Pelodiscus sinensis: one gene and its partner. The protein of the gene in region 1 interacts with the protein of each later gene in a pairwise test. Links are inferred from orthologs where the notes say so. Each region holds a gene or a part of one and is shown in the gene's direction. Other genes may lie near its edges.

Region 1 (7,271 bases):
TCGGTCAGAATTACACAGCTGAAAATGGAAGTGCCCATGCAGGTGAACAAGAGGGAGTTGGAAGAACTTAGTAGCTCAGAGGATTAGGCCTACTGCTTGTAGCCCCTCTGTTCCTCAGTGAGCCAATGCAGGTGCGCCACCAGGAACACAGCTACTTTGACTATAAACTGCTGGCTAGCTGCCTCAGGTGACAGCTTCCCTCCACCCCCACTAACTGCCTCCATTGGCTTGGCTCAGCTTCCCCACTTGAGGCTGTGGCCCTTTGCTAGCCCCTTGGAAAACCCAGTGATGGGCAAACTGGTGGATGAGGAGACTGCAGTCTCCACCCAAAATGCTCACCAAGCCTTTCTGGAGGTTCAGAGGAAGTGGGTTAACTTTTTCTTTAGGTCTTTTGAATTTTCACACTCTGCATCTCTTTAAGACTTTGGCTGGAAGTGGAGGTACAGCAATATTGAGGGAACTAAGCTGTCCTTCCAGTATTAGTGAATTACTGGCAAATTAGGAAGCACCTGGAATTTCATAGAAAAGAACTTGAAAAATTCAAACCTGATATCCAGATTAGAGAAGGTTAAGGTGTGTCTAGACTACAGGGTTTTTTTAAAAAAAAAAGTGGCCTTTTTTTTTTTTTTAAAAAAAACTTCACCTGAATCTAGACTGCTGCCACATTTTTTTTGAAATTAAATTGAAAGAAGAGTCAGTTTTTTCAACTGCAGAAAACCTCATTTTACGAGGAATAACGCCTTTTTTCAAAAGTGCTCTTTCAAAAAAAGGCATTATTGAACACAAACTGTGCTTTTTCAAAAGAGAGCATCCAGACTGCCTTGGTGCTGTCTTTCGAAAAAGCGGCTCTCTTTTGTGAAAGTACTGGTTGCTGTCTAGATGCTCTCTTTCGAAAGAGGCTTGTAATCTAGATGTACCCTTAGAGAATTGCAGGAAACCTATGGATTCAAACTTAAACTTCTCGCTCTTTCAAGCCATGCCCATCACTAACACCATCATATTTTCCAAACCAGAATGCTCACACAGCTCTGCTGTGCAGAGGTAGCCTCGGGAGCTTTCAAAGGCAGCAGAAGGCTTCAGTGTACCTACACCACTGACAATTCCAATCTGCCGATTAATAAATCGAAAGTTCTGAAGAAACACCCATTACCCAGCACTGAAGGCAAGAAAGACATTCAGCAACATGTGAGAGCAACCGCTCAACTGCTCACCCTCCCCTGCAGCAGAATTCTAAGAGACTCGTCAGAGGGGCAGCAACCTGTTATAGAAAACAACTCGTACGGCCACAAACTTTGCTCAAGTTGAGCAGTACCGGGCTATTAATCCATACTGCAAAGTAAGCGCCATCCCCACAGATGTAAAAGATTCATCCGCAGAGCAGTACAAGGGTTAATTATGGCTCTAGCTATGCAGCCAAAAGAAACGTACAATAACTGTTATTAAACTTGGTTGCAACTAAACCACATTTTCATCTGGCCTTTGTGAATGGGGGCCAACCCACGTTAAAGAAAACATATGCTTTTAGTCCAGGTACAGACCTTTATAGGGGTTTTTTGTGGGGCAAATCTGCTAAGCTAGTCTATTCACATTGTTTATGTTTGTAAAGAAAAATTACAGTGCTGAATTAAAGAGATTTATGGGCAAGATGTCAGCCTTGCTCACTTTAAAGCTAATCTCATAAATCATCGTGTTGGCCTCTTCAAGGAGAGTCATTAGCTGGTCTTTAAGATCATGGCCAAAAGTGAGTACTGCACTTTAATAGCTGCCGCCAAGGCAAAAGAGAGAGGGGTTTAGCTCCTTTTATTGGCAGGTCTAAATTAAAACAGATTCCTCCCAAATGTTTCCCAAACCACCAACAAAAGGCCAATTTTGAGGGTCCCTTTAAAGCAGGGCTACTCAACTTTGGAAGCCCCAGGGGCCACAATGATACTCACAGCACATGCCCAAGTCTGCAACTTAAGTGCGGTTGCATATATATGCAACTATATATGCAAATAGCTTATTTCACATCAATGGGCATGTATCAAAGATTAAGGCAAGACTGTACGACACGCAGGCCCCATTTAAGTCAGTTCTGCTGATATTCATAAAATGCAATATTTACCCGATGTCAGCACTTTTAATGAGCAATGACAGTCCAGGAATTTAACTACTAAAACACATATCAACAGAAGACCATTATATTGACTACTTTTTTGTTTTCGCTTCCACCCGCAGGCACATGTTGAGCTCCGTGTAAACCCAAATGGCACCATGGGCCACAAACAAGCGGGCCGCATGTTGATTAGCTCTGCTTTAAAGGAAGGAAAGAGGCAGCAGCAGGGGATGGGAATAGAGCTGCTTAAACCTTTCACTGAAATCACTAGGAAACTGGATAACTTTGCCCATGTAAAACGAGGAATCAGATACTGTGGGTCTTGTCCTGCCCATTCCCCACTCTCACAATTGCCAGGACACTGGGCAAGGAGAGGCAGGCTCAGGAGCCTCTCCAGAATCCCTGTTATTATGAGCACAGCTCGGTGGCAGATGGCCCAATGCTTTGTATTTAGTTCAGCCTCCCTACGAGGGAGCGAAAGGAGGAGCAGGGGTCACCATGGATCAAATGTTCTTCATAAGCAAAACCCAGAGGAGGGTTTAAAGGCAAACGGTGGAGACCCACTTGGCGCGCTGGCTAGCACAGATGGCAGGATCCGTGGGAATGAAGCGAGGGCTTGCTTCAGGGAAGACTCCCATTGACTTTTAGAGGCTTTGGATTGGGCCTTTAAGGAGTGGTGTCTCTGGGGGTCTCTGCTACACCTGCTTCATTACATCAGTGCGGTGTGACTTACAGTTATGTGGCCAAGATGACCCTGTTGATCTTTACTGCTTGGGGAGGGAAGGGTCTCTCTCTCTCTCTCTGAGCCCAACCCATCCAACACTATGGGACTGCAGACTGTTGTTTCTGGGCAGCTGGGAGCTAAGCAGTGCATCCGTCGCACCTTGCCATTTCTTATCTCATGGTAGATTTCTCTGTTTCCCCACTTGGAGGCTTTAGAATCTGAGTAAGGCAAAGGACGCAGCATGCACTGGAATGCCCAGGGAAGAGAACGGCTGATATGAGCAAGGGGCTGTTCGGGTGACTCTGCTGGAGATTGCAGGAATAAAGAGTAAGGTTCGACCCTAAGGGTGTGTCTAGACTACAGGGTTTTGTCGACAAAACTAAACCTGCATCTACACTACCACTGAGTTCTGTCGACATAACATTGACAGAACTCAGCAGTTTTGTCGACACTGGTAAATCTCATTTTACGAGGAATAACGCCTTTTGTCAACAGAGTTCTGTTGACAGAAGGCATTATTGCATCTAAACTGTCCTTTGCGTCTACACTGCCATGTCGACAAAGCAGCTTGCTTTGTCTACAGAACTGGATGTAGTCTAGACTCTTTGTCGACAGAAGCTTTGTTGACAGTATCTGTTGACAAAAGTTCTGTCAACAAAAGCCTGTAGTCTAGACGTACCCCAAGTGTGTACCCACGGTGAGATCTTTGGTACAGATTTACAGTAAAACTAAAAAGGAGGCTCAGAACTATATGAAATACTACAGCAGAACTGTGTGTCTCACAGGAACACAGATGGCTCGGGCTTTAGGGAATAAAAGCAATGCCTTTTAACTGGTTTTACACAGACTGTTCTGTAGCTTTGCCCTGTAGCCTTCACCTTTTAACAGCTGTCGTTCTGAATTCTCCATCGGCTCTCTTCTCTGCCGTGCTCACACATCTATACCTGAAAAAGTCTCATTTGTTTGTTGGGCAGGGGACAGGGAGGAGAATGTCTTCGTTCCTGGCTTGATAAGCCTGATTTATTACTGTACCCAAATTGTTAAAGAGGTACTTACAAAGGAGAGCATTTGGGTTCCATTCTACTCCCATCTACCAACACCCTCAAAAGAAAAAGCACATCCCAGGGTGCTACAGCAATGTGTGGCAGCCAAAACCCCTAAGATGGACAGTACTGCACATTTTACAGGCCGGTTCCCTTACAGAACGAACCCCTGACATTCCCTGCTTATTCATTTAAACCTGAATCCCTATTTTTCACAATGTTCCCCATTCAAATCCTCTACGTATCTATGAGCTAACACCAGCCTCATCTCAGCCAGCCCAGAGAACAGTGCTTTAGATGAAACAGGAAGCCTAACAACTTTAGCCTGCAGTGAGACCTCTAGTGTTTTTCTTACTCTATGTCCTGGCATAGTTCCTCTAAAGTACAAACGCACACAGAGCTCCTATTGTTTGCAGCCCTTCACAAGCCCACTGATCCTAATATGGAATTCAGCAGGAAACCCATGATTTCCTGACACACAGCAAGCTGAGGAAAGAAAGGAAAAACTCCATTAAAAACCTCCAGCTTTCCTCCATGTTAGAAATGAAATGGAAAATGGAGTGGATTTAGCAGGAATACCGGAATCCTCTGGCCAAACTGGAGAAGGGGAGAAGAGAATCAACGCCTCTGACTGCTGATATTTTTAAAGTTGCAATAAACAGAGGTCTCTCTGTCAGGATGAGTATTTCCTGACTCCAGCTCACAAGAAAGGACAATCCTTTTCTTGAATTTTTAATAGATGTATCATTTATTTACCTCAATGCTTCTCTTTACTGATACGGTAATTGTTAGAGGCAGCTGGAACAGCCTGGAGACAGTATGATTTCCTGAGGTGGAGAGCCTCCGAAACTCAGGAAGAGTGAATACAATTGCACTTCATTTTTCCTTCATGTGCACTTGGAAGTCCTGGGACCAGCAGCAGTGCCGCAAGAATGAACTGTAAGGAGGAAGATGACACCAGCACCGAATGCAGCAGCAATAACGTGAAGAAGATGTTAAAGTGCGTGGTGGTTGGGGATGGTGCAGTGGGGAAAACCTGTTTGCTGATGAGTTATGCTAATGATGCCTTCCCAGAGGAGTATGTGCCTACCGTATTTGACCATTATGCAGGTAAGGAAGTGGTTTTTACAAAGAAAACTTCAGAGGGAAAGGGAAGGGAGACGGAGGGCAAAGGAGATGTCAAGGGACTACTAGCCCGAGAACATGAGTCAGGTTTGGAAGGCAGCCAGGCAGAGTAGAGGGCAGCACATTCAAGGAGGGCACTGAAGGATTTGTTATTTGTTTCCCATTTTATTTTTTTGGCAAATATGCAGAATTAGAAACACAACTTTAAGTAACCTCCCCTGGCTTTAAAGGCAGTGGCTATAATTCAGTGTTTCTATAGTTATTTGCCAGGCTTGTTTTGAAGTTACGAGCTGAACTCTGCCCACTTCAGTCTGTCTGACTCTAACGTGCATTTTGTCAGTCATCTTTTTCCTTGTGTGGCAAGTGATTCAGAAGTTGCAATACTGAGATCCTCTCTATGAACTAATCTTTGAGAAAAGCAGTGACACCTCACCTAGTGCTGCCGGAATGAAGGTCACTTTGTTGTATTGGCATTTATGATTAATAGTAGTTAATATCAGAGTATTAGAGTAGTTAATAGTAGAGCAAAGCAGCACTGGTTTTAATGCTTAATGATGAATGCACTTGTCTTAATGAAAAAAAAAAAGAACAATCATTCACAGAACATAGCAAAGATCATAACTGATCTTGATTGTATCACAGGGCAAAATGAAAAACATATCTTAAGAAGATCACGGTTTAGGTACAGTATTCACAGGCCACTTCTGCTGTAGCAACTCCTTGCAACTTTTTTAGGTGCTTCAGAATTTACCATGTGTACTGTGCAACAGGCTGAAAACAGTCTTTAATGTTGCTTTAGTTTTCCTAATGCAAGAAATTGGTTGTCTTCATCATGTTACGCTACTGATCCTATTTTTTTATTTATAAGATCCCTAAAAAAACAGATTTTGTAAGTTATACAAAACTTATCACTGATCTTGCAGCAATTTTGTTTGCTTTTTGTTTTCTGTTTCTCCTAAACTGGATTTTCATGGCATGGCTTATCATAGATTTGGTATTCTGTAATGGGAAAATCTCAGCTTTCACCTTGGCTTCATGTCAGGTTTAGCAGAGAGACATGGCCAAAAAAGAAAACTGTAAATGCTGAGTTTGATATGAGGTAATGTGAAACCCTTATTTCTCCATAAATGTGTGTAGCTTTGTCTCTAGATGTTAACAACAATGTCTTTTCTCTACCATCTCACCCATTTGTTTTAAATTCCCATTTTAAAAAAACCTGTTTACACAAAACAGAAATAGGAGTAAAAATTTAATAAAGATAATGTGTGAAACAATATATATATTCCCATTTAAATGACAATTTTACAAATGTATTTGCAGGGACTGAAGACTTAGGTTTCTGAGATTGTCTCCAATTATTTTATTGAAATTTTGAAACGTTAAAAGCAAGTAGTATAAGGAAGAATGATTTTTAGGAGAAAGCCCAGAAAGCTAAAAAGATTGTTTTGAGTCTTTGGATATTATTGTACTATTGTGGGACAAACTCTGCCTGATTGGTGTGATTAAAAACTAGAGGTAGTCAGAAAACAAAATTTCTATTCCAGGGGAAATTCCAGCATTTTGAAATCTGTCTTTGTTCCAAATCAGCATGAAAAGCAAAATGTTGAAATGTTCCATGCAACAGTATTAAAAAAGGGGGGATGGAGGTTGATAGTTCAGCAGTTTGACACTATCAAAGAATTAAATATAATACAATACATTTGATACAATTTAACATTAAAATTCTAATATAACCTATACTTCAAAACAGAATCAAAACAATAATGTTTGAACAAAACATTTTGACATTATCCAACCACGAATGTTGAAATGATTCATTTAGACTTCCTGTCAAAAATGTCATCAAATTCAACACGTTCTCCCAAAATGTTTTGACCAGCTTTATTAATACCAGTGTTGTGTTAGCAGTGTTCCTCCCGTCTCACCGGGTCAGTGTCACAGCCTGACTGGGAACGTCAGATTATTTACTGATTTCCTTCTTTCTCTTGGAGTAAAAGAGCAGGAGAGTCAGGGGAACCTATTCTGATCTAAGAATCACTTTTGCACTGGGATCACTGTTATCTTCCAGGATACTGTTCTGCCTAGCTCAGAACTGGGAATTGCTTAATAACACAGTTGTCACTGAGCAAATGCTGTTAACCATCAAAAGCATCTGATCACAATTATGCTAACTTGCCCTATCTACTTTCTAGCCTTTGTTCATGTGGGCTGCAGATGTGGGAAAGGTATTCATATTATTGATGCAAATAGAGGCAGGCAACGTGTGTGTAGGAAAGGAATTCTG
Region 2 (7,731 bases), on another chromosome or scaffold:
GTTTAATTATTTCAAGTTAATTTGAAAGAAATAATCTGTTCTAATCAGTTGTAATGACATCTATTACTGAATTTCTGGTAGAGGTAGACATTTGATTACAGCAATTTGGGACTGGAAAGGTTAATCTTCAGAAGCTTTACCTGAGCTTTATGGCTGAGAGTATGCAGTCAGGGGGAAGATGATCAGAGGAATGGATACCCTATTTAATGAGAGGAGACTGGAAAGGCTTAGCAAAAAGAAGACTAAGAGCCTGGTTGTGATCTCTGAATGCAGCAAGGCGAAAGAAAACCAGGGAGAGTTAGTACAAGTATAGAACAATATTGGTACAAGATTAAAGGGGTATAAACTGGTCTTGAACAAATTCAAGCTGGGAATGAGATGCTTTCTAACCATCAGCAGTATGAGGATCTGGGACAGCCTTCCAATAGGAAGAGTGTTTGGGTGTGAGTGGGGGCAAACAACATACTTAGTTTTGAGATCGATCCTGACAGATTTGTTGGCATTGTATGATGGGGGTATAGAGGTGATTGGTTGTACCTGAATCAATTGGTATTACAGATCTTTTATCAAAAATGATGTTGGCAGCCAGTTATACAGTAAACTAAGTTTATTAACTAAGAAAAAAAGACTGAGTTACTGAGCTGTGAGAGCAGGTAAATATAACAGGTAAATCACAGTTTGTAATTCCAAATGGTGGCAATGATGTAATGAACTGCGTTTCCCAAAAGTCCTTCTGGATCTTTGTCTTCACATTCAGTTATTGTGCCCTGTTAGAATCCAAATAGTCCAGAGATAGATGTTCTTTCTTCGAATCCACGTTTATATCTTCTTTCAGAAGACAAGCTGACAGTCTCTCTTAACTATCGGCTTTTCTTTGATTACAGATAGTAAGGAATGGACTTAGAGTCCTTACTTTGAATATCACACACAAGGATCACTTACTTAGAAGCATTTTCTGTTAAAGTCCTTAAACACTTCATTAGCATTTCCTAAAGTTCTTTGATGGGTAATTTAATTCCAGGGCTATAAACAAATGTAAATGTTTGCTATATTATAACAAGAATAGATAAACAAGAACAATAAAAGTAAGGACCCATTAGTTTTCATGAAGTTTAAAGATCTGCGTATGCTCTCATACATTCAGCAATTAGGGATATTAAATTTCAATTAATTGGCTAATTGAATAGTCGATGCAGTTTGCATCAACGATTCAATTAGTTGATAAGGGCACCTCCACCTTTGAAGTGTGGCAACAGCCACAGGATGAGCACAGGACCAGTGGGCGACTCAAGCAGACTCCTGCTGGTCCCGTGCTCCCCGTGGTGTTTCAAAGCGGCAGTGCTGCATGGAGCCTAGGGTCAGCGGTCCTCAGCTGACCCCGGGCTCCATGCGTCACAGCTGCTTTGAAATGCCACATGCAGCCCAGGGCCAGCTGGGAGTTCCCAGCTGGCCCAGGCTGCATGCGGTGTTTCAAAGCAGCAGCTCTGTGTGGAGCCCGGGGTCTGGCTCTGGGCTCTACACAGCACTGTTGCTTTGAAGCAACCCTTGCTCTTCCCCCTCCTCTCCACTTGCTACCTCCTTCTGATAGAAGCAGCCAGGGTGGGGGAAGTGACTAGTTGACTAGCATGTCGACTATCTGATAAGCATTTGCTTAGTCATTCACGTCCTTAAAATTAGTTTGATCTATCTTAATAGTAAGTCAATTGGCCTGAATGCACTCTTACATCTAACACTTGCTTTTGATCTGTACTAACAAAGGTGAACCAGCCCTTGGCCCTGATCTGACCTGGTTTGCTAGTGTCAGAGGGATCCCCCCCCCCCAATAAGTATTCTGTGGTTTTTCTTTTTAAATCTTCTAAAGCATTAGAAAAACCACTGGTGGAGATGGGTCACAGGACAGAATGGGCCAGTGCTCTGAGGTGGTACCAAGTAATCTCTTTCCCAGATGCTTGTCTGATTGGTTCTTGCTCACATGTCCAGGTTCCAATTGATCATGCTATGTGGGATTCTGATGGACTTTCCCCCCAGGTCAGATTGCCAGTGGCCTTGGTGATTTTTTTTTAAACATGTGTGTTCCTCTACAGCATGGATGCACATTGTTTGCCAGGGTCATTTGTGTGTCTCCCTTCCCTTGGGCCTTGTGCACCTCATCTCTTCTTTTCTATTTTTATGGCATATAGTTTAGTCTCGTGTCGGCTGTCATACCCAGGCCTGACTTTGCTTATTGAGTTTAGTGGGCAGGAAATCGGACTAGATGAAAGAAAAGTAAACCCACTGGCAAAAAAATCTTTAGTGATACAAAAAACAAGGAAAGAAGAAATGAGCTCGCAAATTGGTGTGGAGTTTAAAGATAATCTAGGCATGGTCAAACACCTAAATGAATATTTTGCCTCATCTTACAAAAAGAATAATTAGAATCTTGGGGACAGCGCAGGATGGCCACTAGGAACAAAGATATGAAAGCTGAAATTACCACATCTGAGATGAAAGTTAAACTTATTTTTATGGGACAAAACCAGGACGCGGTATGGGGATAATCTCCATCCAAGAATATTAAAAAAACTGGCACATGAAATTGCAAACCTCAAAACAATGATTTTTAATACATCCATAAACTCAGGGGTCATAGCCTATGACTACTGAATTGCAAATACAGTACTTTTAAATATACAATTATCTGACCTAAACAGGACTGGAGGATGATTGGATAGTGAAAATGTTAGGTAATATGGAGTACCAATAAAAAACATGGGAATAAATATGTATTACTAATTCTAATGAAAAAATAAACATCAAACAAAAGCACAACTGCACTCCTGTGTGGTGTGGGCGCATGCACTGATTGTGATTGGCTATTGTACATGCTGCGTTCTTATTCGTCAATTTGTCACGTCGGCGGGTGGCACGTTGGATAAAATGGTATGTTGGATAAGCGAAGGTCAGAAAATCGAGACTGCCCTGTAAGAGGTTAAAAAAGTGATGAGAGAAATTACAGGCCCTTTTGGTTTGGTTTGTATGCAAAGTTGTAAAACAAATGTTGAAAGAGAAAGTAAGGACGTAAAGATAAATAGCAATTAGAATAAAATACATAATCATTTTACGAAAGATAGATTATAATAACGTAAGAATGGCCAGACTGGGTCAGACCAAAGGTCCATCCAGCCCAGTATCCTGTCTGCCAACAGTGGCCAATGCCAGGTGTCCCGGGGGAGTGAACCCAACAGGTAATGATCAAGCGCTCTCTCTCCTGCCATCCATCTCCACCCTCTGACAGAGGCTAGGGACACCATTCCTTACTCATGCTATGGACTTAACCTCCATTAATTTATCTAGTTCTCTTTTAAACCCTGTTATAGCCCTAGCCTTCACAACCTCCTCAGGCGAGGAGTTCCACAGATTGACTATGCACTGTGTGAAGAAGAACGTCCTTTTATTAGTTTTAAACCTGCTGCCCATTAGTTTCATTTGGTGGCCCCTAGTTCTTATATTATGAGAACAAGTAAATAACTTTTCCTTATTCACTTTCTCCCCACCACTCATGATTTTATAGACCTCTATCGTATATCTTCTTTGAGAAGATAATGGATTCTCTTCAAAGGAAGTGGAGAGGATCTATTCTGACTGTATTTCAATAAGGTATTATATAGTTATACAATGGAAATTATTAAATTGGAGAGGACAGGGATTAATATGAGAATGAAAAGCTTGGTGAGGAACTAGTTAAAGAGGACACTGTAACAGGTCATGCTGAACAGTGAACTGTAAGGGTGGTGGGAGGTTACTAGTGCATTTCTTCAATGACTGGTCTTGAGACCAATCTTAGTTTCCATTATCATTACCGACCTTGGCACAAAAAGTGAGAGTACACTAACGAGTTTTGCACATGACAAAGGAGGGCGGTATTTCCAATATGGAGGAGGACCGGCATATTGTGCAAGAAGTATTGGATGACTTCAAAAGCCGGTGGTAAGAGAGTGTTCCGCAACTGGGGGTGGGGGGTCTACTTCACATCCTCCATTACGTCCTATGTGGGGGCAGAGTTTTTCTGGGCAGTGTCTGAAGATGTCCAGGGAGGAGCAGCGGGTACTGTCAGCACTGTCCAGGGGCCTTTGCTAGGTGTCCCCCCTCTGGATCCCTGCTTCTGAATGTATCCTTGCTCCTACCCCTGACTCTTCATGTGCTGCTGGGCTGGGTCTAGACTGGCCAGTTTTTCCGCAAAATCATCTGCTTTTCTGGAAAAACTTGCCAGCTGTCTACACTGGCCGCTTGAATTTCCGCACCAGCACTGCCGGTCCCTGTAGGAGTGTCAGTGTCCTTGCGGAAATGCCGTGTTGCTCCGGGCAAAAGTCTTTTTCCGAAAAACGTCTGCGCCCGAGGGCCAAATGGCGATCCTGGAGGGCGGGGCTACCCAGCGCCGCCGGCCTGCTCCCGCTGGGCCCTGTCTCCCATGGCAACCGGGAGGCAGCCCCTCCCTCCGCTCCGGGTGAGGAGGCGGGAACGGAGCCGGGGGCGGGGCCCCCCAGGGGTGAGGGGCCCAGGACTCCGCTTCCCAGCGGGCCCCGCGCGCGCCGGCACCTCCCCCTTTGCCCCGCCCCGCGCCCGCTGCATCACGGGAGCGGTAGTCTCCGCGCGAACATGCGCGGAGGGCGGCCCCGCCCCCTCCCCTCCTCCTCCCGGGCTGTGGCCACGCGCGGCGGTTCCGCTTCCCCCTCCGGCTGCCGCCGCCTCGGTGGGTCCCGCTGCCGCCATCGCAGGAGGCGCCGCGCGAGCCAGGGGCCGCGGCCGGGGTCCCCCCGCCGGTGAGTCCCGCGCTGAGGCGGCCGCCGATCGCTCCTCCCGCGCCGGGCGGCCCCCACCTGCCGGCGGGTCCCAGGCCGCGGCGCCTCCGCCCGCCCCGGGGCGCGGGGCCAGGTGCGGGCAGCCCCCCCCCCCCCCGGCTGCTCCGGGAGCCGCAGGCAGCGCGCGGGCGGGCGGGCGGCTCTTCCCTGGGGGGCGGGGGGGCTGCGCCCGGGCCGCGCGGAGGAAGGCGCACCTGCCCCGCGCGCCGCACTGCTGTCCGCGGGCAGGGCAAGCGGGCTCGGTGTGTGTCCTGCTCCTGTGCTCTCGGGCTCTCAGCCGCAGGGTGAGCGCCACGGGCTGGTGTGTCGCTGCATCGGGGCCTCCCTGGCGCCCTGACCTCTTGGGGTAATTGCACACAAAGAATTAATGGAGTTGTCAAGTTTTGCCCAAACTGACATTTTGTAACAGAAATATTGTTGGTGAATCTGTGGGTTTACTGGATTTCTTTTTCTCTACCATTCCCTGGTAGTGTAAGCAACCCAAATATCGCAGCATTCCATTAGTGTGTGTGTGTGTTGGAAAATTCCTTTGTGGATCAGTACCCCTTTGTGGTTCGTTTATGCTTTGTCTCAGTGTAGTTGTCACTGTCTGGTTTTGTTTGTTTGTTTGTTGAAGTCGCTTTCCTGTTTTCTGACATCTTTATTTTTCTACTTTTGTTCATTATGTGTTTTTTCTATCTGCTCCCCCAGCCCTCCTCACAAGAGACTCTGAAGTGTTTAAGGCCAGAAGGGACTATTAGATCATCTAGTCCGACCTCTTGCTCATTTCAGGCCATTACATTTCACCCAAATACCCCACTTGTGAGACCAGTTACTTTTGGTAAATAAAGCATTTAGTCCTTAGGGGACTAAACCATTGTGTTGCAGGCACAACACAGGAGAGATGGGTGCTGTGTAAGTTCTTGCAGTGGCAGGAAACTGACTAGGTGTGAGAAGTGCCTACATGATCCCAACAGGCCATGTGTATCCCATAATGAGGAAGAGGAAAATATCTTAGAGTCCCTGCAGATCTGATCTTGGGGGACCTCCTTACCTATATCTGATCGATTAGACCCTGAGCATGTGAGCAAGATATGCCAGCCACATGTCTAAGATGGAATTTGGATGTACATGTGAGAGGGGGTGTGTGTCTAACTGGGTCTCTAACTTATACCATTGACAGAACTACTTTTAGTCCAGTACTTACCCTCTCCTGTCCTTTTTTATGTTTTCACTCTTCCCAAATTCTTTTTTTGGTTGGAATTTCAGTGCTCAAGTATTGTCTGAGAGTTGGACTGAGCTTCCAGAGCCAGTATGTTCTTCTTTCAGATTAACAGATCGTTAATTGATGCCTCTGCTGTGGCCACAGTGAAGATAAATCATGGTTTTTGGAATAAGTATCCTAACTGTTACAGCAGCAGTGTTTTAAAGGGCTTATTTTAAAAAACCAAACCAAACCCAAATGGCATATTTGGATGTACCATTCAACCACACCAATGTCAAAGGGTTTTGCCAAGTAGTGGTGTGAATGAAAATGCTAATGCTGGAGTCTTGGGCTAGGACCTAAGCATCACTTTGTATACTGACATGTCTGATCAAAATGCACAGGTGGGGAGAAAAGGAGGAGGGTAGCAGAGGCATGGAAGTGGAAACAATTGAGTGAGATTATGGAGGTGTCAGGCTATTAAAAATTATTTGCCTTAGATCCCCTCTGTCCACTTAATAGCGCTGACATATGTGGTGGGCTGGGAAGTCCTATTTAAGTAATTTATAGTTAAGGATTTAAAGCACTGGTGGGCAGTATGCAAGGCGGCAGGTGGTCCTTCTGGGGTCTGTGTGTGGCCTGTGAGAGATTCTGTTTACCATTGCCCAGGCATGTCCATGTAGTTTTTTCCTACCAGTACTGCTAAAGTGATACGCACCTAAAGTAAGTGCATATGAGCTGAAATTGCACACAGCATTGATTGCGAGAGCCATGTGCTCTCTCTACATCCAATCAAAGTACTGTTACTGTCCAGTGGGCACTCCCAGCAAATTCTAAGGTAGGCAAGTGTAGTTAGCAAAACTACCCCATCCCAGGAGACTGTCTTGGATATGGCAATCATGTGGCCCACTCACTAGCCTAGGTTGCCCATCGCTGATTGAAAATAATCTAAAGCAGTTTTACCAGTGCCATTTTGTAAAACGACATATATGTTTTAAGCAGTAGTGGTTGAACAGGAAGATGATTTATAGTTTGTAGGATTGAAACTAACTTCGTCCAGTCAGATGATCGCTCTCCTTCCAAGCTATATTATAACTCCTCAAGGTATAAAATCAAAGAGCTACAAGTATTTGTGACTTGTACAAGGCAATATAAATGTAACTTTAATTAAGAATATTGTAGGCAGTTCAAGCAGGCTAAATCCAAATCCTCATAGAGACAATTGTAAAGCTTTCCATTGAAGAGATCGTTCCAAAACCTTAACTACAGTGATCGGTTTCACTGCTTTTTTTTTCTTTATGAAAACAGACACTAGTTGGAGCAGTAAGAAGGTTAAAAGAATACAAGCTTTCAGTATATTCCTTTGAATCTCTCGAGTTAACTAGGTAGTGGTTTCTTGAAAATATTGTAAGTGACTCACAAATAAAAGTCTGCAATTGTCCAGTGGTGTCTGGAAGATATTACCATTCCATAAATAAGAATTATGCATAAATTACAATTGAATGTCACTAGAGCATGCGTTAGTCGGACTAAGGATTCTTAAGATGCTTTTCTGTCTAGGGTTGGTGTTTTTTGTATCATTGTAGTGTACGATGAAAAGAAACTGTTTAATATTAGCATTATGCATTTTCATGAAAGTATGATGTGTTAAATATATTGGCATTAAAATGTTCAAATAGTGAACTGGCAACTTTTAGGACTTGGATCATG

Evidence for each region. The genes of interacting proteins can lie anywhere in the genome.
Region 2: the proteins of RHOJ (region 1) and PAK2 interact in binary tests that used the Homo sapiens proteins (3 or more experiments, as listed by UniProt). The two-hybrid records come from large-scale screens. The link is inferred for Pelodiscus sinensis from reciprocal best matches to the Homo sapiens genes RHOJ and PAK2.

The regions. Positions count from the first base shown.
Region 1 is NC_134714.1:14,816,703-14,823,973, forward strand, and holds the start of RHOJ (rho-related GTP-binding protein RhoJ), read left to right. Parts: upstream 1-4,241; 5' UTR 4,242-4,794; coding exon 4,795-4,972; intron 4,973-7,271.
Region 2 is NC_134720.1:621,797-629,527, forward strand, and holds the start of PAK2 (serine/threonine-protein kinase PAK 2), read left to right. Parts: upstream 1-4,643; 5' UTR 4,644-4,799; intron 4,800-7,731. UniProt on the Homo sapiens protein: Serine/threonine protein kinase that plays a role in a variety of different signaling pathways including cytoskeleton regulation, cell motility, cell cycle progression, apoptosis or proliferation.